Schizosaccharomyces pombe: one gene and its partners. The gene in region 2 interacts genetically with the main gene of each other region. Each region holds a gene or a part of one and is shown on either strand. Other genes may lie near its edges. The genes, in order: byr1, ras1, byr2 and moe1.

Evidence for each region.
Region 1: of ras1 (region 2) and byr1, changing one suppresses a phenotype caused by changing the other (phenotypic suppression), as found in Schizosaccharomyces pombe (4 studies listed by BioGRID, with this or other methods).
Region 3: of ras1 (region 2) and byr2, changing one suppresses a phenotype caused by changing the other (phenotypic suppression), as found in Schizosaccharomyces pombe (6 studies listed by BioGRID, with this or other methods).
Region 4: mutations in ras1 (region 2) and moe1 are lethal when combined (synthetic lethality), as found in Schizosaccharomyces pombe (2 studies listed by BioGRID).

What each region holds. Positions count from the first base shown.
Region 1 is NC_003424.3:664,736-672,769, reverse strand, and holds byr1 (MAP kinase kinase Byr1), read right to left. Parts: upstream 4,767-8,034; 5' UTR 4,618-4,766; coding exon 3,595-4,617; 3' UTR 3,028-3,594; downstream 1-3,027. Other genes in the region: THO complex subunit Tho2, read right to left, coding at 1-2,287, 2,343-2,391; transcription factor TFIIH complex subunit Rad15 , read right to left, coding at 5,670-7,988.
Region 2 is NC_003424.3:2,015,121-2,022,237, forward strand, and holds ras1 (GTPase Ras1), read right to left. Parts: upstream 5,512-7,117; 5' UTR 5,369-5,511; coding exon 5,363-5,368; exon of another isoform or gene 5,292-5,362; coding exon 4,638-5,291; 3' UTR 4,342-4,637; downstream 1-4,341. Other genes in the region: SPOM_SPAC17H9.06C (uncharacterized protein), read right to left, coding at 16-1,018; signal recognition particle subunit Srp21, read left to right, coding at 1,265-1,336, 1,389-1,578, 1,721-1,821; leu5 (coenzyme A transporter), read left to right, coding at 3,249-4,229; protein Ddb1, read right to left, coding at 6,104-7,117. UniProt on the Schizosaccharomyces pombe protein: Participates in the process of sexual differentiation and the determination of cell shape. Essential for mating and for recognition of the mating pheromone, but not for vegetative growth. Does not regulate the intracellular cAMP level.
Region 3 is NC_003423.3:1,737,976-1,746,613, forward strand, and holds byr2 (MAP kinase kinase kinase Byr2), read right to left. Parts: upstream 4,370-8,638; 5' UTR 4,322-4,369; coding exon 2,342-4,321; 3' UTR 2,073-2,341; downstream 1-2,072. Other genes in the region: mrpl7 (mitochondrial 54S ribosomal protein uL5m), read left to right, coding at 1,003-1,866; RNA-binding protein Mlo3, read right to left, coding at 6,138-6,737; cyclin Clg1, read right to left, coding at 8,066-8,638. UniProt on the Schizosaccharomyces pombe protein: Serine/threonine protein kinase involved in conjugation and sporulation. It is thought that it phosphorylates the byr1 protein kinase which itself phosphorylate the spk1 kinase.
Region 4 is NC_003424.3:4,549,597-4,557,839, forward strand, and holds moe1 (translation initiation factor eIF3d), read left to right. Parts: upstream 1-2,243; 5' UTR 2,244-2,254; coding exon 2,255-3,958; 3' UTR 3,959-4,145; downstream 4,146-8,243. Other genes in the region: gmh5 (alpha-1,2-galactosyltransferase), read left to right, coding at 330-1,373; Fe-sulfur cluster assembly ATPase Nbp35, read left to right, coding at 4,519-5,472; rex1 (putative ribonuclease H70), read left to right, coding at 5,827-7,698; 19S proteasome regulatory subunit Rpn10, read right to left, coding at 8,125-8,243. UniProt on the Schizosaccharomyces pombe protein: mRNA cap-binding component of the eukaryotic translation initiation factor 3 (eIF-3) complex, which is involved in protein synthesis of a specialized repertoire of mRNAs and, together with other initiation factors, stimulates binding of mRNA and methionyl-tRNAi to the 40S ribosome.

The DNA of each region.
Region 1 (8,034 bases), 1.4 Mb from region 2:
AGCAATTCTTTCAATATAACAAGGTCAAACATTTGGTTCACTTTAAACTGTTTAATCACATATTCGACGATAGAGGTGCAATCGAGGCTCGAGTATCTTCTGAATACACGGCCACAAAAAGATGCTAAACCTTGGAGCCAATGAGCTATACTAGTTCCATCAGATTTCAATCGCTTTTTGAACTCATTGGAAAAGGAAGATAAAATAATAAATGTCAATGCATCAAAGTCTAATGCTGTAATAAAACGAGCACTATCAACTACAACTTCAACTAAATTATCATAAGTTTCAATCTGATTTAAAGCGATCGAAAACACAGTACATGGATTCGAATGACAGACTTTAGCCAATAATCTACCAAATTGCTTCACATTTGTTTTCGTTAACCTTCTTAAGATGCCTTTTGTTTCCTTTTCAGTGATAGAATTTTGTAGCTTTAGCTCCGGAAACTTTTTCATGGAGGTACTTGACCATTCACCATACAACGCATATCGAGTGGATGAATCAAACTTTGACAGCAACTCAAATAATTCATAGGAAAGTCCAGTATTGACATCAATAAGTGTGATGAGAGGAAGAAGAAGCGATCTAATAATATCCAGCCATAATGTCCGACTCTCAGAGCTATTATCGACACATTTTTGACCAATGCGGCAAAGCTTTGTCACTATAACAGGATCATGACACAGAGCAAGCCCTGACAAACGTAACCATGGGATAGCTATGTTGTAGAACTCTGTCAAGTTACGTAAAATTGGTATATCTTCATCATAATTTTCAAAGTAATAAAACACCTCACTTTCAGTTTTGTTGAATCGATCAGCAAAAGGATCCAACGAAAACACTAAATTTTTTTCCTTTGGAGGCCTCAGGGTAATTTCTCGAAGCCTAGAGTCTTCAGGAATGAACTTTGGCTGTTTAAGTCGTTCCCTTACATCATTTGGTAACAATTTCAATGGACTGTAATTTGCATAAATTGAGGAAATAGAAATATGCAAAAGTTTGTGATACAAGTTAGATAATTCGGGGTACGCCCTCAACAAAAATGGATAACGACCCAAGATTAATAGAGATGAAGATAAATCCCCGATGGACAATAAAGATTTTAGTAGACCCAGCTTCTGTGAAGGTTTGGCTTTTTTTATTTCAGGAACAGCTTCAGCTTTCTGGCCATCCATGGTTTCTCCGTCTTCAATTTCATCGTCGGGCAATGGGGCCGCCATTGTTAAAGCATTTCCTTTAGCCTTAAAAGTCTGTTCATCTAATTTATCCTTATATTTACCCAACTCTTTACCAAGCTCTTCATCTGATGGAGAAAGATGAGCCCATATGTTATCAATGCTAATAAAATTATATTTAATCAACAAAGCAACCATCATAAAGTAAGATTCCAAATTCTCGTCATCTTCTTTATACATATATTGCAAATTATGACCCAAAACTTGAGACATTATGCTCTTTGTATTGGTGAATCGCTCGTCAAAATTAAAAATACCATTAGCATTAGACAGATTATTTAAAAATGTTTCCTTTTCGCGATCAGGTAACTGATTCCAAAATTTCCGCTCTTTATTCGGACCCCATGGGCTGTTTCTCAAGATAGAAAGGAAAAAGCGCCACGAATCAAGTAAATTTTCAGAAAAAAGCAACAAAATCAAATCCAGTACTTTGTTCGGATCTAAATCAAAAGCACCAATAGTACTGATAATTGACTTATTTACTTGAACGATCAGATAATCTTCGTTTAAGGATTTATTGCGAAGACAAGTTAAAGCATCAAAAAAGTTTATCATTAAATGTGAAAATCCTTCACTTTCTTCTCTAAGCAAATTAAATTTTTTTTGGCGGTAGAGTAGCGAAGTATTTGTCCGCACAATTTTCCGATTTAGAAAATCGCCATTAGGAACGACATTAATATTTTCCAAAAATTTGCAATCCAAGCGAGAAAGCAACCATTCCTCTGGAAGGAATTCCTTTAGTCCTTTTCCAATTGAAACAAGCCTCTTTTCAGCTTTATCATGACTTCCTTCGTGAAAGTTTTTGATCCACTCTGTGTCAAATAACCAAAGCGTATCAATTACATAAGAAGCTAAGGTATTTTTTTCCTCCAATCTTTCAAAAGCTAAGGAAAAAATAGAGAAAAATATGTCTACTGGTAACTTCTCTTCAATGACACATTTTTGAAACAATTCTTGGATTGATTCAACACGTTCGTCACGCGTTCTATTAGATGCAACAAGTTTATCAATATAAGGCTCCCATTCCTCTGAGAGCTTCTTTTGATTTTCTAAAATTATATTCTGTTAATAAAAAATTAATCGGTATTACCTCGAACTTCTTACCTGAAACACTAACTTCGCCTTGCTGATCCTTTTCTGGCAACGAAGTCATGAACACTTGTTAAAAATTACAATCGTAGTGAAACGGATTGCAACAAAATTTTTTAATGTTAACAAGTGACAAGGCTAACTAAATTCAATCTACAGCACTAATCACTGATAAATCTTTTGCTGCGTCTTGCAAACAAGTAAAAACCCAGAAAGCTTGGTGTTAAAGTGAAATGAAAACTTAAAGTACTTCGCTACTTATTACAGTGGTTTTTCGAATCAGAAATAGCATACTAGCTACGCAGTTCGCCGTTAGTAATATTACGCTACGCTATAATACTTACGTTGATTATCACTATATGTCACATGTCCTAATTATTCATCGTACACGTACGTTACGATATTTAGGTGATCTTAATAATAATCTCTTAAAAATTTATATTATTTTGAATACTGTAAATAGAGCTACTGTTGATCCTCATTCCTCAGTTCAGTTAATAGCTAAATTAATGATAGGTAACAATATAATCTAGATAGTATAATACATACAACCTGTAGCTACAAATATTACCTGTATATTGCAATATAATAGGTCACAAGGAAAACTCTTTGGAGTCTACGTATCGTTAACACAGATACCAAACTGCATAGCTGGCAAGTAAATAATAATTGCTTACTTCGTTAAATTTTACATCTGAATGGTTTATGTATTAATTGTAATATTTGCAAACTACGGGCTTTAAGCTTTAATTTTTTATCATCTGGTTTATTAGAAGTTGTGCGATTTGACATGCAGGACTCTGATTAACTTGCTTGGGTAAAACTTAACTCAGACTATTGTGGACGCTGTAACTCAAGTAGTTAAAAAAAACATTCATTGACTTAAATCGAAAGCAATTCAGTGTACCGAGAATTACATTTGAACACAGTCGTAATGATAATTAATAATGGAATAACCAAAAAAAGAGGGCATTTACATAGCACTTTAATGAAGTAAAAAATTGATAAACAAAATATGATACCTATTTATGGCCGATCTAATAATGCTTTGTATTAAGAAAAAAGCGGAAATATTCGTCAACGACAAAATCTCATTGTTCTCCACATTGTGTTGTACCACTATAATTGAAGAGGTGTGGTTAGAACCAAAAATATCCATTTCATGACAAAGTTTAATTTAAAAAGATTTTTCTGAAATCCTTCTTTTTGACGACAAGATGTTTAAAGGTCTAACATAATTTATGTATCCATTGCGTCCTTTGCACATTTACGAGGATCTAAAGTTGGAGGCCCAAGAAGCAAGGTCAACATTAATCATAAGAGCCTGTTGAAAATATGGCATCGCACAGAGTTGTTGTGGAGAGGCGCGAAGTGTAGGGTCTTTATGTAAACAGGCATCAACGAAAAGTCTGAGGTCTTCAGGAAACGAAGATGGAAGTCTAGGTGGTTCTTCTTGAACAATACAATGAAGCAAATCTAGGATCCCTATTGAATCATCGATATTCGAAAACGACCAAGGTAATTCTTGGGTGGCAAGTTCAATAATGCTGATTCCTAGAGACCAAATATCACTTTTGACTGTATATTTTCCACCTCTAATTCGTTCAGGAGACATATAAGTTGAAGTCCCCACAAACGTTTGAGCAACCGAGTTAACTAGTTCACCTGAAACTCCAAAATCGCATAACTTTATTTCACCACGAGAGTTGACGACAACGTTGCTAGGCTTTAAATCCCTGTGAATGATATGTAAAACGTTGTATAAATAAATGAGACCCTTCACCATAGAATTTATAATTTTTCCTAGAATATCTAACGGAATAGGACCTCCCTCCCGAAGAATTGCATCAAGCGATCCGCAATCCATGTATTCCATACATAATGAAATGTTGTTTTTATACTGAAAAGCTCCATAAAAACCGACTATGTAGGGTGAACGACAGTGGTGTAGAACACCTAACTCTCGCAAAATCTGCTTCTGAAGTTTAGAGTCTGACCCAACATAAACTGTTTTCCTAGCCATAAAAATATTTCTATGCTTTACCAATGAAACAGCCCCACCATTTCCCTCTCCCAAATGCCTCACTACTTCCAAACTGCTATTGTCCAAATCAGATATCCAAGCTGGGCGTCGATTCATATGCGCACATTGCTCCATAAATGCTTCGACATTGGATTCAAAGCTTTTTTGATTGTTAATTAACTCTTCCTTATGATCATTATCAGAGCTTTTAACAGAGGCGTTAGGATTCAACACAAGACCTTTTGGATTTCGACGTCGTTTAAACATTTCTAGCTATTGGCCAAATTCTCAAAGAAACCTGTATCGAAGATTATATCATTTAAGATACTATTAAAGTTGCTTCTTTTTCTGTAATTTGACAGCTGACTGTATTCAATAAGTTACTTTGCTAATCAAAGATACAAAGCAGTAGTTATGACAGGATTCTGACTACCCCAACGTGACTAGAGACAACCCTTGCAATAAGCTACACTTATTTTTTTTTCTATATTTAAGAATTCCTGAAAGCGGTATCCTTTTTGTGCTAGAGTAATTTTTTTATACAGTAGTTTGGTAAAGAAACCATCATTGATCTTATATGTGCTTGGCAATTACGTATAAGCCAACCGTGAATCCGTAAAACCAAAAGATTTTTTATTTTCAAGAAATTTATATATTACATAGAATACAGCAATGAATCAGTTGTACAACCCCAAAACGTTCATTTATTTAGAACTAAGTATGGGAGACTAATTTTATCGACATAAAACTATCAAGGAAATTTTTTAGATTATGAGAATATATTATGAATATGTAAACTTTTGTTTTATGTATCTAAATGATAAACAGATGTTTTGTTTATATAACTAGGCTTACAATTACTGCATCACGTATTTTAACTAGCTCGCTTAATGTAAGCTTAATTTCCATAGCAGCATGAAATTGCCAATAATCACTCTTTGAAACGCTGGATTGTTATTGATGGGATGGAAAATTTAAGAAGCATTACAACAACTGAAACCGATTTTATTTGAACACAGTCTCTAAAAAAATTTTAAAGTACTTCGAATTTAGCGACTCGCAAATTAATTGCCAACTGAGTGTAAATAATATTTTTTCTCTGCTCTGCGATCTTAAAACAATTCGTAAGTAGCATGCGTATCGTGATGACGATTGAAATGTCCACTATACAACTCTCGAATACAAGTTGATACATACATTGTCCACACCTACAAAAAAGTTAGCCATTCGCTTCCAAATATCTTCATCGCTGTGTTCATGAGTTTTGGATTGCCTTAGTAAAGATGATTAGAATCAAAGTATTTTACAAATGGCTTCTATTAAGTTTCAACCACATCAATATCCATCTCATCCTCATGTTTGGATTGTTCTATAGCCGCAGACTTCAATGCTTTCTTCTGATGAATCAACAAATCATCAAGACTCCACCAAGAAATCCCTTCCTGATCAGACGCAGTGAAAGGCTGTGCCATAGTTCGTAAAAATTTTTTCGCCAAAGCGAGGGACATATCAGTGCTTAAATTTGTAGCGCCTTCGGTTATATACTGTTGAATCCATTTAGGTAATTTTGTACGCTTATCAGACCGACCATATCGTTTATCTGCTAACACCATAATTCCATGATCATCTTTTCCACGCAAAACGCGACCTAAACATTGGGCAGCATGCCGCATGGCATCAAATGTTAAGAAATCTGCTTCCCGAATTTGATACGTATCCCTCAGAAATTCTAACCGTGCTTTTAAAACACGACTCTCAGTATACTGATACGGAATACCAAACATGATTACTGCTCTACCATAATGATGATCAAAATCCACTCCTTCTGAGACTTTTCCTCTAGCGACTGACAGCAATACTGCTCCACGGCCATTGCTGCAAGCAGCCCGGTAAGTCTCTAAGGCGAGAGTTGTTTCATGAGGATCTGGTGTTTCCACCAAAATCAACTTATACTTCCAGACTTCATCTAGAATACCCATACTTTGCCAACTAGAAACAATACTTTCAAGGTAGAGATAACTTGGAAAAAATGCGACTAAGCCATCAGGTGTAATTTTCGAAAACTCAACCAGTATATTACCGTAATTGCGAACAACACTAGGATCATTACGGGCTTCAAATTTTGAAGAAATAGCTACTTGATCGCTACCCCGAGTAACTACCATAGGAAGGAAACAGTTTCGTGCAAGTGACATTCCATACGATTCCTGCATAACAGTATTAAACTGCAACATCTTGGGGTACATATCGAGGGGGGATAAAGTACCACTCGTGATAATCACAGACCTAAATCTTTCGAAAACTGGTTTAATAGCTATTGAGGCGTCAAGACAGGAAAACCGCAATATTGGATTGGGAACTGTAGCATTTTCTGTTTCAAAGGGTTCCAAAATTAGGATAAATCCACGCTCATAAGTAGCAACAAGGGTCGCAAAAGCTACTACTTGCTGCAAAGAATGAAAATCTTCAACTAGTGAAATTTGTAAGGCACGAACAAGACTAGTGAGTCGCTCAGCGCAAAACCGAAGCGGCTTTTTGTCTATAAATGTAATGTCTTTAACATGTTGCAAAAAAGAAGTTGGTGTTTCAGCAATAACGTGCAAAACTTTCATCCTTGTTTTTAAATATTCTACAAAACGCTTCAAAAATGCAATAAAATGTTCGGCTCGTCGAATATTTCCAGGAACAGCTTCCTTTAAAACATCCTCAGGCAAAACGGGATTCGCCATAAACTGGTCTTCGTCATTTGCGGCATTAGCATCTTGAAGGCCCCGAACAAGCTTTTGGTATTCATCCTGAAGTTTTTTTGAGTCAGACTGTTTTACTTCGTTGACTTTTTGCTCAAGAGACAAAATGCTCTTCGAAGCTTTTCTCAAAGAAGATTCTGTCAAATCAATACTTAAAGACTCAATACACACATTGTCAATATTGTGTGCTTCATCAAAAACAACAATGCAATCTTTACTGAGTTCTCGAGAAACTCGTTCAGCAATTTTGGGGTCTAGTAAATAATGATACGAATAAATAATAACATTACAAAACGGTAGCATACGACGTACAGTAAAATAGGGGCATCGTGTAGTTTTTTCGCCGTATTCTGTGATATCATCAAGGGTCCAAACACCGTTAGATATAAGGCTGTGTGGCTCAAGATCTTCCAAATTGTCGTGGAACTCACAAGTAGGAACATCCATACCAGCCAATCTTTGCTCCCGCACAAAACCCGCCGTAAGTGAGCGACAACGGGCATCTACCACATTCCCATTTTTTTCACGACGAACAGAAGGGTGTAAACATAAATTTTTGCGACTGGTTAGTCCGAGACCCAAAAATGGTTCTTCATATCCTAACTGTGAAGTCCGATACGCCATTAAACGCTTCAATTCAGCTAATGCTTTATCAATTTCCGACATGGTACGTGAACAATAGATGAGCTTGCGATGCTCAGGATAATGTTGTTGATATGAAACAATAAGGGACAAAAGAGAAATGGTCTTTCCAGTACCCGAAGGCATTTCTAAGAGCGCAATGCCTCCCGCATCCAAAGAATGTTTCAAATCACACATATACTGATACTGCTCGGGATAGATGCGTGGATAAGGAAACAGAATAGGTAGATCGTCAATATAGAACTTCATTATGGGTGTAATCCGTTGACTTTGAGGAAATTAATTTGAGTATATG
Region 2 (7,117 bases):
AAAAAAATTACTTACTTCTTAAACTATGTAGTTTTTCATAAAATGCCTTCTTCGAAGGATTTCGAAATCTTGGCACTTTTTCTTCGAAACCTTCATCAATAGGGTCCAAATCTTGAACCTCTTGTTCTAATTCATTTAAATTCTCCATTTCTTCTGTTGATCTAATTATGGGCTTCAACAAATCTTCAGGAGATGAACTTTCATCATCTTCAGAAGATGAGCTCAAAACTTTCCTTTTTCGTTTTATTCGAGAAAACTGTCTTGCAACGTTTTTTGAACCAGAATCGCTCTGTCGCTCGGTATCAGAATCGGAATATAGTATATTAGAAGACAGCTTCGTCTTTCTCGTAATCGTAACATTTTCTTCTCTTGGAATTCCAGTGTCGGAATCCTCCGAATCAATGACAAATCCTTTTCGTTTCTTTCGACTTCCCATGTTTTCTCCCTTTATTTTATCACTAGTGGGTAATTCTTCCAAGTTGGATTCACCTAAACTATCGTTGCCATAAGTAGATGACAGTGACCCGGTGATATCTTCAAGACATACAGGCGAATCTTCATGTGAATTAATCGCAACCTCATTTTTTGAGTCGTGCTTGTCTAAACAAAGAAACGGAACGTTGACGGTTTCGTGAATATCGGAGAAAGTAATAAGCGGTTTGCTGATTTGGTTCTCATAATTAACGCTTGAAGAATCTTTATCTAACTTTAACTTTTCGGCATTGCTTTCTTCTTTCTTTGGAGTATTATTATCAATAATTACCACCGGAACTAGTCTGTTCGTGTTATCACTAGGCTCACTTGACGAAGATGCTTGAGTTTGAGTGGTTCTAAAATTATCTCGAGAAGAAAATTGGGATTCTTTTAATTTTTTGTTCCCTCTACTGCGTGAATTTGAATTCGATTTCATAGCTCCTTTGTTCTTTTTAAGCACAACATTGCTCTTTCGCTTTACAAACCTAGTTATCGGATACTTTTGAACATCATTTCTCTGTACATTGTCTTGATTTGATACCATAAATTAGGGGAATGTTTTAAGTTGACAGATTTGTCGACTAATAGTTTCAGTAGTTTGTTATACGTGAAAAACCAATATAGTATACCAAAAAGTAGAAAAAATAGTAAAAAAAGCTTTTACGTTTTTTGGATGAATTATATTCAATTTTAGTAACCTTCGATTGACTCAAATATAACTTAGTTGTGTTTCAGACAACACTACGAGGTGCATGCCTGATGTGTTGATCCTACCATCAGCCACTATACCATGGTTTACCTGCAAACTGTGAATGAGTTCTTCACACAGTCAAAATCATTAACGGAGGCTTATCCAAAAACGGTATGGTGTTGATGATATCTTTGATAATCAAACTCTGACTTTTTTCATTTAGACCAAACTTAGTATCAAATATCGCACGAATGAGCAGAGTCAAAATTATTTAATCGCGAAAGCCTTTGAAAGTGCTTCTGGAATATGTCTAAAATATAGGACTGACAAGGCGGCTGAACTTGGCAGATTACTTCTAATTGCAAACAAACTTAGTTATGTCTCCACAGGTAACGAAATTCCTCCTGAACCAGGTATGTATTATTAGTATATCAATTGTTTTTGCATTGTTATAAAAAGAAGCGCTTGGAAGGAAGATGTTTTCCTTTAAAAGTAGTTATTAATGTAACTATGCTCTTCTAATTTTTACGTTTCGCTAACAGTCATGTTATATAGAACAAGAGGTAGTGGCTTCTCCGGTTACAGAGCAAAAGAAAGCGGAGCCTTCCGCTCCTCCTAAGGGTTCAAAGAAAAAAAAAAGGGGGAAGAAGAAATGAGTGTAGCACTTGGCGTGTTTTTTTTTTTCATTTTGTTCATTTAGTGTCACGTTAGATATCTTAGGATCGGATTAATTCTTTACTTTTATCTTACAATAGCAATTCTCTCGGTTTATCAATAAAGGTAAAAAGGATAATTTGCAGTGTAAGTCAGTCGTTCTGTACTTTCTTATTCGACCAACATGAATAATGGCCCCTTCTTTCTTAATATCATTTTTTATTTGCAAATGCTATACATAATCAAAAGGATGCATTCGCATTGGTATTACCGATGTGATTGGTTATAAAAGTATAACAAGCATGTGTATTCATTTACAGGTATTTCAAGTGCTAAAATATAATATTTCCTTTATGCACAGTTGGTAACATATTATTTAGTACAAAAATCTTTATTCGGTGAATTTCATTATTCATTCGCTAGGACAGATCGTTTAGACAAGGATGAAAAGTTTTACTGCATTAGCAAATAAGTAAAAAAAGTTGATGTTTCTGCTTTTAAAATATCGTTTGTTTACAGTTACCGATTGCACAAAAACTAGTTTACTACAGTGTGAACTTCATATTCAATATACAAGCAATTTTCCTTTTAAAGTTTGCTAGAGCAACTTTTTTAATATGGATATGTATAGACACAACTTCATTTTCACCTTAATAGTATCTTTATTTAAGTTTATCACATTTTGTTTACCATTTTGTTCATAAACCAATTTATGTAGGTTGAGAGAATTAGCATCATAGTTCAAAAATTCTTATTATGTTAATCTATGATTGATCTAAACAAAATTATTATCATCAATTATCTCCAAAGCTATTGAGTAAACGTTTTTGTTTAATTATGAGAAATATATTACTGCCTGCTTAATTTCCACCTTCCAGTGCTGTGGGCATTAACACCAAAAAATCGGCAACTCAACAATTATTTGAGCATTAGGAGTGCCTTTCTTTATTTATTATTGGGATACTCAGGGGCTTAATTTTTTATTTTTTAGCAACGGATTGGTTTTCTTTTGATCCTTTATTATTAGCCTACAAATATATTTGTTAAATTACAGCCTTTTTTTTACCTTACCTATGGGCTTACTGGAATTCTAACAGAAGCTAAAAGATACTTTCATTTTCTTTCAAAAGCATAATTGATTGCTTTATAGGTAATCTTGTTGGACAATCTGAAGTGTTTTCTATTCAGATTACTGTTTGCTACTACTATAAGTGTTCTCGTGTTCCTTCAATCACTGTTATTGATCCAAGATATTTGGACATTTGATGCTAAATCTTATTTACATGTAATTTTGTTTGTAGTAAGAAGTTGAAAACGTTCAGTTTTAACAATTTTTTTATGTTTAGGCATTTGGTACGAAAAGTTTTGTCCTTCCATTTATCTTTTTAATCCCCTCTTTATTTAACTTAAACACTTTCAGGGATTCTACATGCCTAACTCAACTGCCCAATATCCGGAAAAGGATTCATGGGAATTCTTAGTCAAATCTGGAATTGCTGGTGGTACAGCTGGATGCGTTGCAAAATCAGTAGTTGCCCCATTAGATAGAGTGAAAATCCTTTACCAAACCAATCACGCTTCTTATCGAGGGTATGCTTATTCACGGCATGGGCTTTATAAGGCTATCAAACACATTTACCACGTCTATGGCTTACACGGTCTTTATCAAGGCCACACTGCTACTTTATACAGAGTCTTCCCTTATGCGGGCATTAAATTTGTTGCATACGAACAAGTACGGCGTGTTTTAATTCGTGACCCTGAACATGAAACACATGCTCGGCGATTTTTATCAGGATCACTTGCCGGAACTTGCTCTGTTTTTTTTACATACCCGTTAGAGCTGATTCGTGTTCGTTTAGCCTACATAACCAATACAGGGAAGAATCCTACCCTAACTCAAGTTACAAAAGATATATTTCACGAACGTGATTTTTTGTGCAATAAGAAGTATCCTGGGTTATCCCGTTTGTCAAAAATCTGTAATTTTTATCGTGGATTTTCTGTTACGTTAACTGGAATCTTTCCATATGCTGGTATGTCGTTTCTTGCCTACGATCTTGCAACTGATTTTTTTCATAAACAAAAAATTGACGAATGGGTTTCTACAAAAAAGTCAGATAAAAAACTTAAAACTTGGCCCGAACTACTTTGTGGAGCATTTGCAGGAGTTTGTGGTCAAACGGTTTCTTACCCATTCGAAGTTTGTCGACGAAAAATGCAAATTGGTGGTATCAGAAAAAATAAATCATTTCTTAGACTTAAGCAGGTAGTACAAACTACTTACAAAGAAGCCGGTATGAGAGGTTTTTTCGTTGGACTTACCATAGGTTACATTAAGGTTATCCCAATGGTAAGCACTAGCTTTTTTGTTTACAATCACAGCAAAGCGCTTTTAGGGATAGATTGAGACTGCAGACATAGTTTTCTATGAAAAAAATTATCCCTTTTTTAAAAATTTATAAAAAAAGATCTACGGGATTATAGGTGTATGATATATTCATTAGTTGCAGATTGTTACATCGTGACCATGCAATGAAAGAGATGTATTTTATTAAAACGGAACAAGAAATAGCAACCCAAAGTCAAATAACACGTTTTTTCTAAGTCCACAACTCTGAATTGAATAATTTGCTATCATACTAGCAGCCAAAACTAGATGTGCAAATGGTTCAAAGGGAAAATGAAGTACTTAAAGATAGCTGCTAATAATTGTGTTAAATGAAAAAACAATTATTGAAATGAAAAGAAAGAGATGAAACAAAAGACAGGAACGGTGCATTCACCAAACAGCTCAAATATTCTGCAATAATACTTGCTAACATATAACACAACATTTAGTTGAAACCTCATCTTCGGTTTTACTGTTATTTACAGCGCTAGCTCTTTTAGCAGTTGAAGCTGGAACTTGGGCAGTCTGGACGGCCTGCTTATTCTGAAAACCTTTTTCTTCTGATTTGTTATAGCGACGGATCGTGCGAACCAAACTATAAAAAGCTTCTTCTACATTTAACCTTAGCTTCGCCGAAGTTTCAACATATAAACAATGCATGCTTTTTGCAAGTTGTTCGCCTTCAGCTCTTGAAACTACACGTTCAGCTTCAAGGTCGCATTTATTAGCCACTAAAACGACTGGAAATGTATCCTTATCCTTAACTCTAAGGATTTGTTGATAAAATGTAGAAATTTCGTCAAAAGAGGACCGAGAGGTAATATTATAAACTAATAAAAAACCCTCTCCGGTTCTCATATATTGTTCACGCATAGCGGAATATTCCTCTTGACCGGCCGTGTCCAATACATCTAAAAGCGCACCTTCACCATCAATTTCACACTTTTTCCGATATGAATCTTCGATTGTAGGATCGTATTCGTCAACAAAATGCGATTGAATTAATTGAATTGTCAAAGCACTTTTACCAACACCACCATCTCCTACAACTACCAATTTGTACTCTCTTAAGTAGGTAGACTATAAATATTATCGTTGATTAGTTTGTTGTAATCAATAAAAGATAACCCCAAGTCATTGCTTAGACTTACCCTCATATTCACTATTTTATAAAGCACACTAAGTTTAATCGTATATTTCTTTAGGTTGCTTTTAAAACAAAATACAAAAAGTGTGTAGGCTTGGTAATTAAAAAATATTGGTTGGTCTTAAGCTCGTTAAAATGTGTTTGGCAGTTTTCAAGTAATGCAGTCAACAATTACTGATGGCAAACCGACAAGCTAGTAATAAAGAAATTCAGAAGTTATAATTTTTTAAAGGTATCTGGTGCAATAAAAACGAAATATTAATGTTAACAGCTAATTATGTTAAATCCATCAATAAACATTTGATCTTCTATTAAAATACCAAAAATTCTGCCATTTGTATTTGACAGATATATTGCATTAGTGCTTTGTCTACCTTTAAAAGCATACGAAGTATTGTTTGAAGAATTCCCTATTCAGCCCAACTTAACCAAATTAGCAGCAAATTTAAGTATTGCTTTTGAACTTTCTATACTGAACATTAAATATTTCTTTATTAAAATTAAAAAGCTTCTAAAAATTTTGCTCAAGTGTTCGCAATACATGCATGAAGAGGTCGGCACCATATATTATTTTGTATATGTTAAACTCCTTTCATGCGTTTTATCGACCGTGGAAAGAGATACGATAGTGGAGATTTTCATTCAAAAACATTTTCGTTTGCTATAAATATACAATGAGACATTGATAATTGCATATAGTCTTAAAATTACATTCTAGCGGCAAAAACAGAATTGATAGAAAACGTTAAGGATGTAGTTTCTCAAGATTTTCAATAATACTTTTTAGATCTTGAACAGAAATATCAAGCTTTGTACCCTCATGACCACCATTTACAATTTCATTCAATATAGGTTCACGTAAACCAAGGATGCTCTCAATCAAAGAGCCATCAATTAAATCAGATGGACTGGTCTCATTTTCACCTCGATACTCTTTCCATTCCTTATGACTCAAGCCTCCAAACGAAGGTATAACTTTTCTAATGTTATCCTGCAGCTGTAGTAACAAAGGAGTATTAGACATTCCGGCATCACCCACAATCATGAGGCTGCCGTCAACTGTTGCGCATAACAACTGTGGTGTGACAAGGGATTTATCCTGTGGTTCTATAAATGTGCAGTGCCTAGTTTTATTTATCAATTCACCAAGATAGAACTTTTTGTACCAACGTAACTTTTTTCTATCGGACAATTGAGGAGAGACATTGTCTCTCAAAAGAATCACTGCGTTGCCATCTGCTTCAGTTACAAAGTACTTTCTTTCTGACAAAATTTCAACGGATGTTGCCCACAATGGATGATAGTCTCTGGCAACTTCTATTAGTTGATCATCAATAAATTGTAGAACGGTAATAGACTTCATTAAATCTGCTGCGATGATTTCGTCCTGATTAACGGAAATGTCGATCGTATAAGTAGGTGTCCTAATAGAATTCCTTACGTGCATAGTACCGTGTTCATATTCGAAAATACAGACACTGGCATTAATGCCGGCGACTATCAAATGTTTATACAGAACTAAAGTGTTCACAGATCCCTGGACCTTATGTTCAGCTTGCATTTCGATATTATTATCGGAAGTCATCTCAAAGACCATTAAACGGCCTGAATCTGGGGCATCTTGATCTGGAAAGTTGAAACCTGTGCCCACAACCACACGTTTATCATCATTCATTAAAATGATACTTTCAACCATTTCATATTCATTAAACTTATGATGAGCAATCTCACTTAAAGTGTTTTTTTCGTAAACTCTCAA
Region 3 (8,638 bases), on a different chromosome or scaffold from region 2:
ACAACTTGTTTTCTTTTGGATAAAATGCTTTTATTGTTGCATAATAGATTGATAAAGGTACGAAATGTATAAATGCATTATTTTATGTTGAGTACTTTACTCTTTCAGGATTGTGTTTGAGCTAAGCTTCTTGCATCTCTCATTCATCATCACACATCTATATTGAAAGGAAAGAAGGTAAAAAACGAACAAGAACAAAGTGAATACAAAAGAACGAATTGGATTAGTATTGTTATTGCATGAAAGTGATCTTATGACATGCATCACTATCCTATCCAAATAGTTTGTAGAGCCAGTTAGTAATAATACTTTCCAATAATTTGAATATGTGTGGCATGCCATTTGGCACGATTTTGAGAAATACAAAAATAAAATCATCTTGTAAAAGAAGAGCAATTAGCTGCTTTTTTATGTACCAGCTGAAGGAAAAACATTTGTTTTTCGACGTATAAAAAAAAACAGAAAGACATCAGCTTAAAGCTTTAAAGCTAACTTGTTTAAATAAGTTTGTAAGTTACAAGTACAATACTTTCTATTACACTTGGCACTCAAAATCGTGTGGCATATGATTATAACGATGCCTCGGATTTCCTTACTTGGCACTAGGTAATACGGTACACTAACCATGACAATACACTAGACAAACGCGAGCAATCTTCCAGCCCTAGTACCTAAGATCCATTGCAAAATTGTTTTGGTTGCGAGACTTACCTGTTTTATCCATAACCATTTGTTAAAACCTTCCTTTGAAGATTTGAGAAACAGGTATCATTTGTGGACATTGGTCTTTACAATTTCCTTGTTTCGTGATTATAAATATTTTTTCCCGGATTTGTGTTATTTACTATAATTTATTGGTAAATTATAACACAAGTGCTCATCTGCTTATAAAGCAAAAGGATTTTCACGAAAATTCCCTAGAAAGTAACCTGTTGTATTTTTGTCGCTTTTGGTTTCTCTTTGTCATTATACTTGTTTTAATTCATTTTTTAATTTTTAACAATGCTTGGGATAAGAAAAAATATCAGAATATCAGTTAACTTTCTGCAGCGAAGAACCATCACTGTAAAGCAAAAACTGGGCAAGAATAGGCCCCTACCAGGATGGGATCCAAATTCTGAGTATTTTCGTCCAGGACCCACCATGTTAAATCGCTTACAAGAACACTTGCATGATACCATTTTACCGGATGTATTAGCTGCTTCATATCGACATGACATAGATACAGCGTTAAGCACAGATGAACATACACAGAAAGACAGACTTCCAAGGTGGATTGGTGATAACCCTTATTATAAAAACCGGCCTCCTCAGAAAATGCGTGGTAATAAGCCTCTGTTACCAGTAAAGGAGTCCGTTAATCCTAAAAACCTTCCTTCTATTAGCAAAGTTGTCGTCAGCACTATGCATAAAGAAGCACTCGTTGACAAAACGCAGCTCTTGAGTACAATGATGGCATTTCGTTCTATAACGGGTTTGCAGCCCGAAATAGTCTATGCACGTAAGGACGTTTCTCCCTGGAAACTTCGTTCAGGTGTGCCAGTAGGTGTAAAGGTTACTCTAACTGGAGAATCTATGTATACATTTCTTTCAATCTTATCTGAGTTGGTTCTTCCTCAGCTTCATGATTTCAAGGGCCTGAGTCCTACAAGCGGAGATCAAACAGGAAACATATCTTTTGGTTTACCAAGTGAAGTCATGCCTTTATTTCCCCAAATTGAAGCTGTTTATGAGATGTATCCGCACTCTTTACCTGGATTTAACGTAAATATAACAACCAATTCCAAAGATACCCGTTTGGCTCGTTTTTTCGTCAGCAGTCTTATTCCATTTACAGATGGAAATAAGGAAGGCTATGTTGGATAGTAGACAATTTATTTTATATCTACTATACCTAATCTTTTCTCCTCAAGGAGTGAACAAAAAATCCCCTTCTCTACGACTAATGCATACATACGTTTTTGAGTTTTACTTGTTTAAGTGATAGAATTCCCGTAGATATGTGTTATTATATATTTATGTTATCGTTTTCACAAAGTAAATAAAAATAAAAAGTTTTTTCTTGAAAAGGAATAATCAATGGATATTTTTTAAACAAACTGAACATGTAAAATAGTATTTTTTTAGTAACTAAACTCATAATGGTATTTATCAAGGACATTCACAAAATCATTAAAAACATGAATATTGTAGAAAAATATAGCAACTTAAATCATACGGTTTATAGGTTAAATAAATTCATTAGTTCTAAATGGCATAAATGCAATGATAATGATGCAAAAAAACATAAAAAAGATAGATCGTAAAATAATGTTTCTGTTTTCATCATAACTTAGCCGGCTTATGAAACGAACGGGTGGCTCAACAACTCTGATGCTGTAGGTCTAAGATTACAATCTATGGCAAACGTTTTCTCAAGGAAATCTATGGCCGATGAAGAAATGTTAGAAGGGAATTCCGGCAGAATGTTCTCCCCAATTCTGAAAATGGCCTGCATTTGATCACAATTCGGATAAGGGTGCTTACTAGTGAGCATCTCGATTACCAAACATCCCAAAGACCAAATATCTGTTTTCTCCGTATGCATAGTTTGCTTCACCACTTCGGGAGCCATCCAAAAAGAAGAGCCTTGAAAAGAAGGGCGAGCACCACCCGTCTTCGTAGAGGTACTATTTAGTTCAAGTTTCTTCGATATCCCAAAGTCCGAAATTTTAATCTTCCCTTTATTATCAACCAAGATGTTCGCACCTTTTATATCACGGTGTACAATGCCGCGTGAATGAAGGTATTCTAAGCCTTTAAGGGTTTGCTTAATAAAGTTCTTGACTAGCGTTTCCTCAAAGCTTCCATACATTGTAAGCAATCCGGCAACCGACCCCCCAGGAACATATTCCAAAAAAATGTTCAAGTGGTCCGAATTTAAGTTAGAACCGAGATATTGGACAATATGCTCATGAGACAACTCCTGTAGAAGAGCAATTTCACCCGCTAATGCATCTAAAAGTTTGGCATGGCGGTCTTTTGATTCAGAAACAGAATCTAAGATCACTTGCTTAACAGCCATCAACTCACCACTAGATGCATTCATACCGAGATAAACTTGTCCAAACGATCCTGAACCTATTAACGCACCACGTATCCATTTGATAGACTGATCATCAGTGTCCTCTTCAAGTGTATTTGTGTCCTCACTTGTAGTGGAAGTTGGAGAAATTGGGGATGGTTGCTCAATAAATGATGGGGATGAACCAGGTGAAAAGGAAAGTACTTGATGGTTGCCATGCGCGCTTTCTGAAAAAACATTATACTTCGACGATTTTTCATTTCCGTTGGACTGGTATAAAGGTTCCACACCAACCATGGTTATGGATTTTTGAAGCGATGGTGGTCTAGAAATACGCTGAGTAGAAGATACAGTAAGTGGAGGATCAAATCCCCTATCAATCCTAGGAAGTCGGTTAACATCTTCAGCAACAGAAATCCTCAGAGAGGAAAGAGGACAAACCAATTCGGAAGGGCGAGCCCGCCGAGAGCTTCTTGGCAAAATTTCTTGACCAAAATTACCAAGATTGTGCCCTTGAGACGTACGTATGCTAAGGTTTCTACGAAGAGAGTTTGATATTGTTTTTTCCAGTAGCTTTGGTTGATGATCGGGGAAAAAATCGGAAATTCTAGAATTAATAAGCTCGCTAGGAGGTCGCTGGTAGGATTCAAATGGTTTCGCATTATTTGAGCGGACACTTCGTTTCTGAGTGCTCGTGGGAAGAACAGAGGAAAGTTTAGGAGAAAGGGAGGACTGTGATGATAATGCTGCCGGTTGAGCCAATTCAATCTCCCAAGAACGGCGGAGGTCTTCAAACGATGGACAAGGCTTTTCTTTTGGCACAATAATTAACCTGTCGCGTTCCGGTGAAGATGAATTAAAACAAATTTGTTTAAATTCTTCTTCAGTAATCAGCTTAATTCGACTACTCTGTGAAACGCATACAATGAATTTTGAAGCATCTTCAAGGCTAAACTTTTTCAAAGCAATAGCGAGTGTTTTCTGGTAATCTCCTCGTGATTGAACTGCTCGAGTTTGCCCGTTACAGGCAATAAACCTCAGTATACATGGACGTGGAAACTCTCGTAAATAGTCTCTTTGTTTTAAAAATTGTTTGCCTTTGGCGGTGTTTTCAATGCCTAGGTCTTTCAGTAAAGGCAAGGTTAAATGATTTAGGTGTCGTCCTTCAATGTTATTTTGTGAAAATTGTTCGATATACTTCTCCAATCCGATACTTTTCAACCATTCTGCTACCTCCTTCGAGGTATAATATTCCATAAATGCAGGAAAGTGGTTGTACAACGTATAACTTCTAAGTTCAAAGTTGGTAGCATTTACGTTTAACCTGCCTCCCTTAGTCTCGTGCTCTTTGACGTAACAATATAACTATACACTTTATAACCGATATTAGTTTCACTAAATCTCATTACCAAAATGAAGCTGCCAAAAAATTCGTAAAGGCTGCTTGTTTATATAGGTATTGCAATTCTCACCCGGCACAGATTCAGATATCTATTAAATAACACTTACGTACATATACGAGTTCCACAAGGAGTCTAAATATCGACGAGAAATTGTAATCAGATATTAAAATCTAAAACTTTCGTATAAACCATGTGTAGCAAGTGAATAATAATCTTTCTCTTTATCTGCAATACAAATGTCGTTAACCACCGTTCAGATACTACTGGTTTAAGGTACGAACGTAAAGTACTGTTTTAACAATTTCAATGTTTCAATCGGTTTCAGAGGACGGCAAGAATCGCGCACTAAAATTAGCAACCCGCAAATGCGCATTCTGAAAGCGATTTTTGGTTTGTAACACAATCACGACGGATCGTACAGATCTTTCAAAAAAATCAAAATTATAAGTGCCAAAAATATATGTGTGGGACTTCAATTTAAATTGTTTGATGTGACAATGGTTCGAACATAAAACCAAGCAATGTTTACCAAAACAAATTTCGAGATACGGTCGGCAATTCAACCATAACAATAATTTACAAATAATAATAAACGTCGGAAGCAAAAAAAACGGGAATGGAAGTGACTAGGGTTTAAAAGTTTCAAAAGAATGCATTGCGCGTAATTCATCAATCAGCGAGTTTAAAATGCAATCGTGGAAAAGTTCTATAAATGTGGTTTACATACAAAGGAAGGAATGAAGCCAGTTCTGTCATGTACAATTTGACAAAGATGAAATAGAGCCATCGAACGCGATGATTTTACGAATAGAAATTCCTCATCCAAACAAGCCGTGCCACATATAGTAAAACAAGACTTGGAATAAGTGTGACGTGAACCAAAAACCATCATGAACATAATAAACACAGTCAAGTTGGGGTATGGAAGCTTTGACTTTCAGCAAACATGCAATAATAAACCCTGTCGGTAAGCTCAACCCAGTATAGTTTAGCAACATGATGATCAAAACAGCTGCCTTGTACAGTAACTTAGATTAAATAAAGTAACAGTAGCCGAAGCTACCATTATCCACCTCTTTTAACCACTGTCTACATAGGTTTTGCTTTTGTATTAAACAAGAAGGGAGCGCTTATCAACCATAAAGGATTTCTGCACAAGAGCTGATAAAGTTGCAAACATAACAGGTGAACAGATATGCTAATAATGAACTCGACTCAAAGCTTAGCTTCTTGGTAGCGTTTAAGCTTGCATACTACAAATCAACAGATATGTCAAAAGTTAGCAAAAGTCAAAACCTCCAACCCAACGTTAACCACCGAAAAAGAAATAAGTAACCAAATTCGTTCGATGTCAATGAAACATATATGTCTATCAAAAAAGAGATATAAATAAAAAATTTAATGAAATTCTTTGAAATAATGGCATAATGGCAATATGACCCAATACACACCATATATACTAACAAGAACTGGTTCAGCTCACTTCTCCAAATCCATTACGAAAGACCCAAAACACAAAAACAACTTCAAGAACTGCCATTCGAAACAGCATTATATTGCCAATATTATTTAACTGAGGGAGTATGTTGTATAGGTCGTTATTAATACCAAGAAGCATTTGACATCTTCAAAATATATGTATATATAGTAGAATCTTCAAATTATTAAAGTTACTCCTTCTCATTTGATCCAAAATAATCATCCATCTCCTTGTCGAGCTCTTCGGCGGATTTTTTAGGACGATTAGGAGTTCTACGGCGGCGTGTAGTCTTCCGCTTGGAAGATTTGGCGCCATTCTTGCTAGCAGTGGCGCTAGCGTTGCTGGCAGGACTTACACGTGCAGCCAAAGAATTCAATTGACGACTAGGATCAAGGATTATCTCAACCTTCATTTTTCTAGTGCCATCAACCAAACGACCCTCATACTGTTCATAAGCTCGAGTGGCATCACCAGGACGAGAAAAAATGATAGTTGCAATACCTTTCGAACGACCGTTGGGACCGTAAGCCAAGGAAACGCGTTTGCAAGGTCCTATGGATTTCACAAAAAGCTCCTTAACTTGAGCCTCGGTAACGTCAGTAGGTAAGTTAGAAACAATAATTTTAGATTCCTCAGAAATGACGGATTTAAGGGCAGAGGCAGTGTTCACTGCGGGTTTCGCGTTCTTTGTTGGCTTTGGCTTGTTAGAGCGCGCACGACGCTTTCTAATACCTCCTTTAGGCTTTGAAGCAATTATGGCGTCCAAGGACTGATCTAATTCCATAGACATTTTTATCGAGTTACTGTTGGGTAGTTAGTTGTTGTTAGGTGGTAAAGTGGCGGGTGGGGTTTACAACTGATCAGGATCTAGGTAAGGGTAGTACACAAGGTGTCGATATTTAAAATTATTATTTTGTAGATTCCTAAATATATTTAGCGATGTTGAACGCTTACTTTAAAGTCTTCAGAAATTTGACAAAAAAATAATATTACAAATTAAACTTACTTTACACTTTATTGGCATCAGAACTAGGATGGACGCGTTCACTTATAAAAGTTGAGAGATTATTGATAAAACAGAATTTATTGTTTTTTTGGAAAGCAATTTTTGTAACCATAATACCAAACGTTTGATATGATGCCTACACGATTAGATAGATGCAAACGCTTCGCCGCTTCTTGGTAGCTTAACAATGCAGAATCTAGACAGAAGAATAACGATTATGCAATTTTTAGAAACACGGAAAACATTCAAAGACAACATAATTCAGAATTAAAAAGCACGATTCAGTGCAACAGAATCAAGTATAAGAGATTATATAAATCCGTTATCTCACTAGTAGACATACGACGAATGCGCAATAAAACTAGGTAATCATAACAAACAGTTTGGGAGTTGGAAAATCGCAATAAAAAATTTTATGCTTAATCCTTAGAAAACAGCAAGCAAAGGTTTCTCATTTAAGTATCAAAAGGAGAAAAAATAAACAAAATAAGGACAAAAACGATGCCCGAAGTAAAATCTTTGCTAATGAAACAGAAAAATAAACTCAAAGCATCCATGGGCCTTTTCATCTATTCACAATGTATTTCTTGATGAAGCTAGTTGTATAAGTAGACTACTAATTTTTGAAGGCGAACTTTAAAAAGGAAATCCGCGATCCCTATAGTAGTAGCGGATGTATATACATCAAGCAGTATTAACAAATCAGAATTGCATCAAAAGATATTCCAATAGATAACAAAGCCACACGAGAAAGCAAAATAAAAGTCCAACGACAAAAATAAAACAGATACTGATAAGAAGTTGGTTCCTTTTTTTCGGTATACTACTTTTCAATTTTTTTTGGGAAATTTTTTTTTTCTCTGTTAAAATTTGAAAAAATAAGAAAGTAGAAAAGCAAGATCAAACGGCAAATTAATTTCAAGAGAGCCGAATTCATCACGGAGATGATTAGAGAATACAATATGACGGGTTAAACAAAAGTTCCCGTCATACAATATGAAAAGAGAAAAAAGTTACAAGAATAACAAAAACACGTAAAGTGTTTATAAGCGCAAGGAAACGAAAAACAAACCCCGTCAAGCAACAACACCCGCAGAAAGTAAGCACGATCACTAAGTCATTGCATAGCGATTGTACACTGGATAATATCCCACGGGTGTATAGGGATAATAGTAGTTGCAATTAGAGCAAGAACGTCCAGAAGAGGGCGATGGTGGTGCGTTGGTGCTCAACGTAGTAGGGCTATAAGTTTTTTGTTCACCAGAGTATGTAGCGTTTGAGGAAGTAAACAAAGAATAAGAAGCACTCCACCACTCCCATGCCTTTTGACCACGAGGACCGGGACTAAGATTCCAGGACATGCTAGCTAGCCAGTCTTGTTCAAAGCTGTTCAACAAGGCAGTACGGAAACCAGTAACTTGCGACCAGGATTGATTGGTAAACGTATTGTCATCCAAAAACTTATTAGCCAAAATCAAGGCGGTCGTTAAAAGAGCACATATTTGGAAGAATAACGACTCCTTAGTCCACTGGTTTACAAAATCAGTCGTTTGAGATGCGGCGTCAAGACGATCGGAAAGGTATGACAAGGCAAGCAAGCAAGAGGCACGAGGTAAACGCGTAGACGTCAAAATTTGTGTAACGACCTTACGGAAAGAAAACACAAGACCAGGTAAAGAGTTAGC
Region 4 (8,243 bases), 2.5 Mb from region 2:
AATTTATTTAGCATATCTGAGTAGATGAACGCGAGAATAAAAGTGCTAAAACTTTTTGAGTAAACAAATAAATAAAATTATGCAATCAGAATCTACTTAACTTTACCGACGTTATCGCGTACTTTGGCTATTTACTCGACGACAAGGCTATGCCAGCTTTGATACACTGGGACGTTACTTGCTCACGACTTTCGCCTTTGCCAAACAGCCTAGTTCTGTGTGAAACCTCAAACGGCATTGCCGTAGTCATATTATCATTCGAAAATATATAATTTAAAGGTTAATAAGAAGAATTAACGTAAACGTCGAGTCTTATATTATATTAAAAAATGTGGAACCCCAAAAAGAAGTCAGAAGCATTAGCTAAGTTTAAATCCTTTCCTTACCCTAAGCCAGGCACTTCCAATGTACTTGATTCCAAAGAAGGTGATACTAGAAGGAAGTATTTTACCAAGACGCATCTACATAGGTTATTCGTCTTTGTGGTACTGTTGCTCTGCTCAGGCTACTTTTTAAAGCATACACTCTTGACGCGTCCCAAAGAGAGTAATGTTGTTATGATATTTGTCAATAACATCGGAGGTGGCGTTTTAGATGTAAAAAGTCCCAGACAATGGGAGCTGGAGAAGATTTCAACGGAGAACAAGAAGAAATACGCTGAAAGGCACGGATATCATTTCTTTGTGAAGAGCACAGGCTTAAAGAGACGATATGCTCATGAATGGCGTGAATCTTGGGAAAAAGCAGATTATATCATGGAAGCCATGAAGAAATACCCTCATGCTGAATGGTTTTGGTGGGTCGATTTAACAACATTCATCATGGAACCTCAATATTCTCTTGAAAAGCTTATTATTAACAGACTTGACCATATTGCGACCAGGAATATTACTGATAGCATGGAGTTCAATCCAAAAAATTTCCACGAAATTCCATTTGTTGACTATAGTGAAGATATCAACTTTATTTTAGGGCAAGATTGCAACGGTTTCAGTTTGGGTTCTTTTCTGGTTCGTCGAAGTGATTGGACTAGCAGATTGATGGACTTCCTTTGGGATCCAGTAGTCTATGGGCAAAAGCACATGGATTGGCCTCACGATGAGCAAAATGCAATTGAGTACTTCTACGAGAATAATGCTTGGCTTCGAAGCGGCATGGGATTCGTTCCTCTTCGCCTTTTCAATTCATATCCTCCAGGTGCTTGTGCTGGTGAAGGTGAAAATCCTCGTTTCTTTTATAACCAAAAAGAAGGAGACTTCTTGGTAAACTTGGCAGGCTGTAATTATGGAAGGGACTGCCTAGATGAAATAAATCATTATAAGGGATTAGCGCAAAGAAAACGGGGTTGGAGGAAGTTAGTTCCGTTTCTTTAATAGAGACCTCACATATTTCCATCATTATTATTAATATTTTAAATTCATACTTTATCATTCTTTTTCCTTGCGTGTGCTAGGCTGTCAATGCGATCCTTTATCATGTGATGCACTAAACTCTCTCCTTTGCTACTTAGCAGCTTTTGCGGTCATTTAACACTGCTTAATATTTGGTGCTTTCCGTTTTTATACATTAATTTCTTCGCAAACAATTGTTTTAATAGGATTAGATGTGTATATTTTTTATGCGACATGTGATGACAGAAAAGAGAGAATGTCTGAGAACCTTGGCGTTCATTTTTTTCTTTCTTCAAAAGACAGCGTTGACGAAATTAAAATTTTCTAAAACATGCTTTTGTCAGAAACATTTAAGCCTTGAGACAATGACTATAAAGGCAAAGTCTGATGTCGTAATCAGTTTTAAATTATAGCATAACATATCTTTTATTTCAATATCAATTTCTCCCATTTTTTAATTTAATAACATTTAGTGCTGATATAACCTGCTAGTATGATAAAGTAATTCTACCTACTATAGTTTTATAATGTAGTGAGTGGTTGAGATTTCCACATATCGTCTTCTGAATAGGCATGTGGGTTCACAAATAAAGAAGTAGTTTGATAAATACAGTAACATATACTAATTGTTAATAGATGTAGTTTTTCTACAAATATAGCACCTTGATTGCAAAAGGAAATGTATAACATTTAACTTTTTCACGAACCAAAAAGTATATATATTACATTTAAGTACTTTTGTATTACAAATAAAGCTTTAGAACTTCAAATATTACCATTGTTGGCTTTGGTGTTTTAGCGTCTCCCAGTTCGTTTGCACACTATACTGGCGTCCACTTCGAAGAAAACTTCACCACTCCCAAATGGCAACTGGATTTAAATTGCCTGAGTTAGCACCCGTAAAATCAGCATGGGGACCTCCTGAAACGGAACAGATAGGAGGTGATATTCCTTATGCTCCTTTTAGTAAAGGTGACCGTCTTGGAAAAATTGCAGATTGGTCTGTTGATCAACCTAAAGATGGACGTGAACAACGTGGACGTCAAGGAGCATTTGCTGGTCGTTTCCGTGACCAATATCAAACTTATGGTTATGGCGCGTCGTCCATTTTTGGTTATCAGCATTCGGAGGACGAATCCAGTTTCTCGGTGATCGATCGTGGTTCTGTCAATCGTACACGCACTTCCGCTCGCAACGGCGGCACTTTATTGAAGGTTCGCGGTAGAGGACAAAACGTTCAACGAGGTGGTCGTGGCGGTCGCTACGGTTCTTCTGGTGGAAGAGGTGCAGGTGATACAGTGGTTTCTAGATCCTCAGGCGCTGGAGGAGCAAGAGGTCGTCGGTTTGGTTGGAAGGATTATGATAAACATCAACGTCTTCGCAACGCCAGTGTTACTGTTGGTGACGACTGGCAGCTTCTTGACGAGGTTGAGTTCAGCCATTTATCTAAGCTCAATTTAGCTGCTGCTGCTCCTGTTACTGTGGATTCATATGGTTATATTTATCCTTATGACAAATCTTTTGACAAGATTCATGTTAAATCAGAAAAACCATTACAAGCCTTGGACCGTGTTCATTACAACCCTACCACTACTGAAGACCCCGTTATCCAAAAACTCGCTCTTAATAGTGATGCTAACATTTTCATTACGGATTCCATTTTGTCTTTATTGATGTGTTCAACTCGCTCAGTGTATCCCTGGGATATTGTAATTACTCACCAAAGTGGAAAGCTATTCTTTGACAAACGTGAAGGCGGACCTTTTGATTATCTCACTGTCAATGAAAACGCATACGATTCTCCCATGGACGCTGACAACCGCGAAGGTGTTAATTCTCCTGGAGCCCTTTCTGTCGAAGCTACGTACATTAACCAAAACTTCTGCGTCCAAGCTTTACGTGAAACCGAAGAAGAGAAATATAAATTACCTCATCCCAATCCCTTCTATAATTCTAAGGAAGAAAGTGAGCCATTGGCTGCTCACGGTTATATCTATCGGGATGTTGATCTTTCTCTCGAGACAGACGAAAAGCCTGTTAAGCTAATGGTTCGTACCGAAGTTGACGGTTATGTTAAAAATCCTGCGAACGATGTTCAATACATTTCTATCAAGGCTCTTAATGAGTACGATCCCAAATTTACAAATGTTACTGGTTCTGTGGATTGGCGTTCCAAGCTCGAAAGTCAAAGAGGTGCTGTGTTTGCCACTGAAATGAAGAACAATAGTTGCAAGCTTGCCCGTTGGACTGTCGAAGCTTTATTGGCTGGTGTTGATAGCATGAAGGTTGGTTTTGTCAGTCGTTCAAATGCCCGTGACGCTCAGCACCACGGCATTTTGGGTGTTGTAGCTTATAAGCCTGCTGATTTGGCTTCCCAAATGAACTTAAGTTTGTCTAATGGTTGGGGTATTGTTCGTACTATTGCAGATGTCTGTTTGAAAATGCCTGATGGAAAATATGTCCTTGTAAAGGATCCCAACAGACCTATTTTACGCTTGTACTCTGTTCCACCCAACACTTTTGAAGAAGCTGCTGGACCCTCCCTTGAAGCTTCTTCTACTGCTTAAAAAGGACGGATGTAGAAAGTTCATTAAAAAGGTTACATGTATAATACTCAATTACATGTGCAAATCTAAGATCTTTAAATCGGTTTTATATTTTCGGTTTCTTTATTTTTTAATCTTATGAACTGTTTCTCGGTAAATTAGAAGCTAAGTGTAAAGTAATGTATTTGTTGGAATAGTAAAAATGAAGCGAAGGAAAATTAAGTGCCGTTTAATTCATTTGGAAATATCTGATTTTCGATGCTTCCAACGTGATTTTTTTCATGAACATTGCTTTTAACACACTTTAGGGTATTACGGTAAAAAAATTAGAACTCGATTAGTAGAAAACCGATATAGCTCATTGCCACTAGCCAAGAGATCGTAAAACGGTTTCAAGCTTAGTCAGAATATTGTGGTAAAACAAGAGGTAAAGCTTTTAGCAAAAATTCGTTTGAAGAGAATTTACACCGGATTACACTTATAATTTACCATACGTGGTTTACAAAAATAGCTACTAAAAGTTCACTAAGCACGTGAAATAAAGACTTTTACTAAGCATTTGCTTTAATATTGGCTTTTCTATGCAAATCCAAGAAACTGTTCCTTTAGATGCACCAGAGCATTGCCCCGGACCGTCATCTGAAAATGCAGGAACTGCATCAGCATGTGAAGGATGCCCTAATCAACAAATTTGCGCTTCAGCACCTCGTGGAGAAGATCCAGATTTACCATTGGTTGTAGAACGCTTGAAAGAAATCAAGCACAAAATTCTTGTTTTATCAGGTAAAGGAGGTGTTGGAAAGTCCACATTCTCTTCGCAATTAGCATGGGGGTTATCGCTTGAAGAAGACAAGCAGATCGGGTTAATGGACGTGGATATTTGCGGGCCTTCAATTCCGAGAATAATGGGTGTTGAAAAGGAGGAAGCCCATCAATCAAGCAAAGGCTGGTCCCCTATTTATGTATGCCCTAACTTGGCTGTTATGTCAATTGGATTTTTATTACCAAGCGAAGATTCATCTGTTATATGGAGGGGGCCCAAAAAAAACGGGCTGATCAAACAATTCATCAAAGACGTTAACTGGGAAAATTTAGACTATTTGATTGTTGATACTCCTCCGGGAACTAGCGATGAACATTTATCTTTGGTTCAATTTTTTAAAAATTCCGGAATTGATGGTGCTGTTGTAGTTACTACTCCTCAAGAGGTTGCTCTTCAAGACGTCCGTAAAGAAATAGATTTTTGCAGAAAGGCGTCCATCCCTATCCTTGGATTAGTGGAGAACATGAGCGGTTTTGTATGTCCTTCTTGCAAAGGCAAGTCTAATATATTCACTATTACTACAGGAGGAGGTGAAGCGTTAGCAAAAGAAATGGGACTACCATTCTTGGGTAAAATTCCTTTGGACCCATTGATTGCACGTTCATGTGATTTTGGAAAAAGCTTTATTGATGAATGTCCTGAATCGCCTGCTTCCGAAATTATCATTGATATTATTAACAAAATTGATGAGAGTTTACAGAAAAGGCAATGAAAAAAATATAAAAAAAGGTTGGAATCTGCTTAATTTCAATTTTTTTGTATAATATAAAATACGTTTATTCAAATATTTATTGAACCTTCTGAGTATATTCCTTGTATATCCTCATTGAGCACTTAAAGTAAACATGTAGTCATTGTGACATTTTTTGGATTAAAAAGAAATTTGAAATCCTTAGTTAATGGATATAATACAAGACAATGCTAAAGCCTGCAATTCAAATAAAAACTCGCAATCAACATAAGCACATTAGTATTCCGAGGATCTGAAGATGCATTGCCCGCGGAATAGCCGACCACCATAGTGATACCACCAAAATAAAAAATGTCAAAGATGGGATCCTCAAGCATGGGTGAACTTCAGGATGGGATAACCCAAGAAGACTCCATTGAAAAAAAGTCAAAGAATGTTGCTTCACACGGAGAAAAAAGGAAAGTGAAGCGAAAAAAAGAAGACCTAAGTATGGATGGTTCAAATGATGGAGTGAAAGATTCACCAGACTCTAATGACGACTCTCAGAGTAAAAAAAAGAAAAAGAAAAAGTTAAAAAAATCTCAGCAACCGCTAAATGAAGAAAATTACCCTAGATTGCAAACTACGGAAAACAATCTTCAAAAACCCCTAAAAATTAGCGACCTACAAGAGCTTGTATTCTGGTGTTTAGCTGATGGACAGGCTCCTTCATGGGTTCTAGTGAGAAATAAACAAATGATTCATAGAGCAGTGATACTTTTAGTTCCTGGATTGGAGCCTAGTCAATTTGGGTTTCAACCCGTGCGCGGCAACAAGCACTCATTTTTGCTGCCGAATTTGCTAAATGAAAATGGCCCCATTCAATTACCTGATTTTTGTGAAGTGTTTGATCGCGCATGGCCTACGAGATCTCCTGGAGATCGATTTCGTGTCTTTTCTCCGGTGAATGCCTTTTTGCAATCTCCTCTGAGTAATGAACAAAAGAAGAAAAGAGATAAAGAAACACGTGCTATGGCTAGTTTTTCCAAACCATCTGATTACTTAATGAGTTATGAATCTTTCATTGAAGACGAATACCCATTACATCCTACTGTCATGAAGGGTGAAGAGGTTACTCAGCCTTCAGGATGGGTTGCTTCTGCAGGAGATTTTCATTCTCCTCCTATAAATCCCAAAATTCTTGCTATTGATTGCGAAATGGTGCGGACTGAGAACGGGTTAGAAATAGCCAGAGTAACTATTGTAGACATGAAAAGTGAGGTTATTTACGACGAATTTGTAAAACCAGAATCACCCGTCACTGATTATGTTACCCAGTATTCTGGCATAACTGAAGAAAAACTGAGAAATGTTACTACTGTTCTTTCCGATGTTCAATCTTACTTAAAAAAGACTGTGGACAACAATACCGTTCTTTTAGGCCATAGTCTAAATTCTGATCTTAATTGCTTAAAATTTACACACCCTCATATCATTGATACGGCAAACATTTATAATCACACTCGTGGTCCCCCTTCAAAACCATCGCTTAAATGGCTTGCAACGAAGTGGTTGAGGCGTGAGATACAAAAAGCGGGAGCTCTGGGGCACGATTCTGCAGAAGATGCTCTTGCTTGTGTGGATCTTCTAAAGTTGAAAGTTAAGAATGGACCTGCCTTTGGGTTGTTTAACCAAGACTTTGAGTCAATCTTTCATAGATTGTCACGACAGCAGCCAACTCCATTGATTGGTGCAATTGCCGACTATGGTAATCCGGAGTCGTGCATTGGCAAAGCGGCTCATAAAAGCGTTTCTTGTGCGAATGATGATGAAGTCGTAAGCGCTGTTGTAAGTCTTTCAGACATGCATAACTTCGTGTGGGGTCGTTTTCGCGAATTGGAGCATGCGGCTATGTGGAACGCTAATCGAAATACAAAACAAGAAAACAACTCTGATACTGATACAGAGAATGATTCGGTAGAAGAGGACCAAGTAACTAGCTATTCTTCTGCTTTAGAGCGTTTTAATCGAAGAATTCGTCTTTTATACGACTCCTTACCAAAAGGTTCTCTATTGCTTTTGTATACTGGTACTGGAAATCCCATCGAAATGTCAAAATTAAACGCTATTCGCCAACAATTTAGAAAAGAATACCAGACCAAAAAATGGGATGAGCTATCAGTAAAATGGACTGATGAAGAAAATATGAAATATATATCTGCTGTTGAAAACACAAGGAATGGATTGTCTTTTATGACGATCAAATAAGTGTGTTTTTATATTGCGATCAAGTAAATTTTGGGTAAAGGGTCTGCATTTTATTGGTCATAATAGATAGTTGAAGAAAACAATTGTTTTGGTTTATGTATATGTTGAAATTAAGAAAGGTAAACAGCTAGTCAGACACGTATATTAGGGGCGTTTTTATTATTGGATGCCACTAACGCTACCTTGATTGTAGATTAATACCTTTCCTTCTAGTAATGTGTTTCTAGAATGCGCTAACCTTTTCTACAATGCTAATTACGAAAATGAAACAAAATGCTGCCAATTTATTATTTTGGATATATTTTGAAAAATCATGATTTTTAGGATTCAATCTAATTTAAACGTTGCTGCATAAAGCATGGCTAGTAAAGTACAAGAACGTTAATTTGTCTTTCATAAGGATAAGGAATCGTAGACATCTTCGGATCATTCTTGCATTTTTTTATCCTCAGTTTCTTCAGATGATTTTTGAGCAGCAACTTCTTGACGTGCTCGTTCCTCCGCCATTGAAAGTTCCAAGGCTAACGCCAATTCAACGTCAAGAT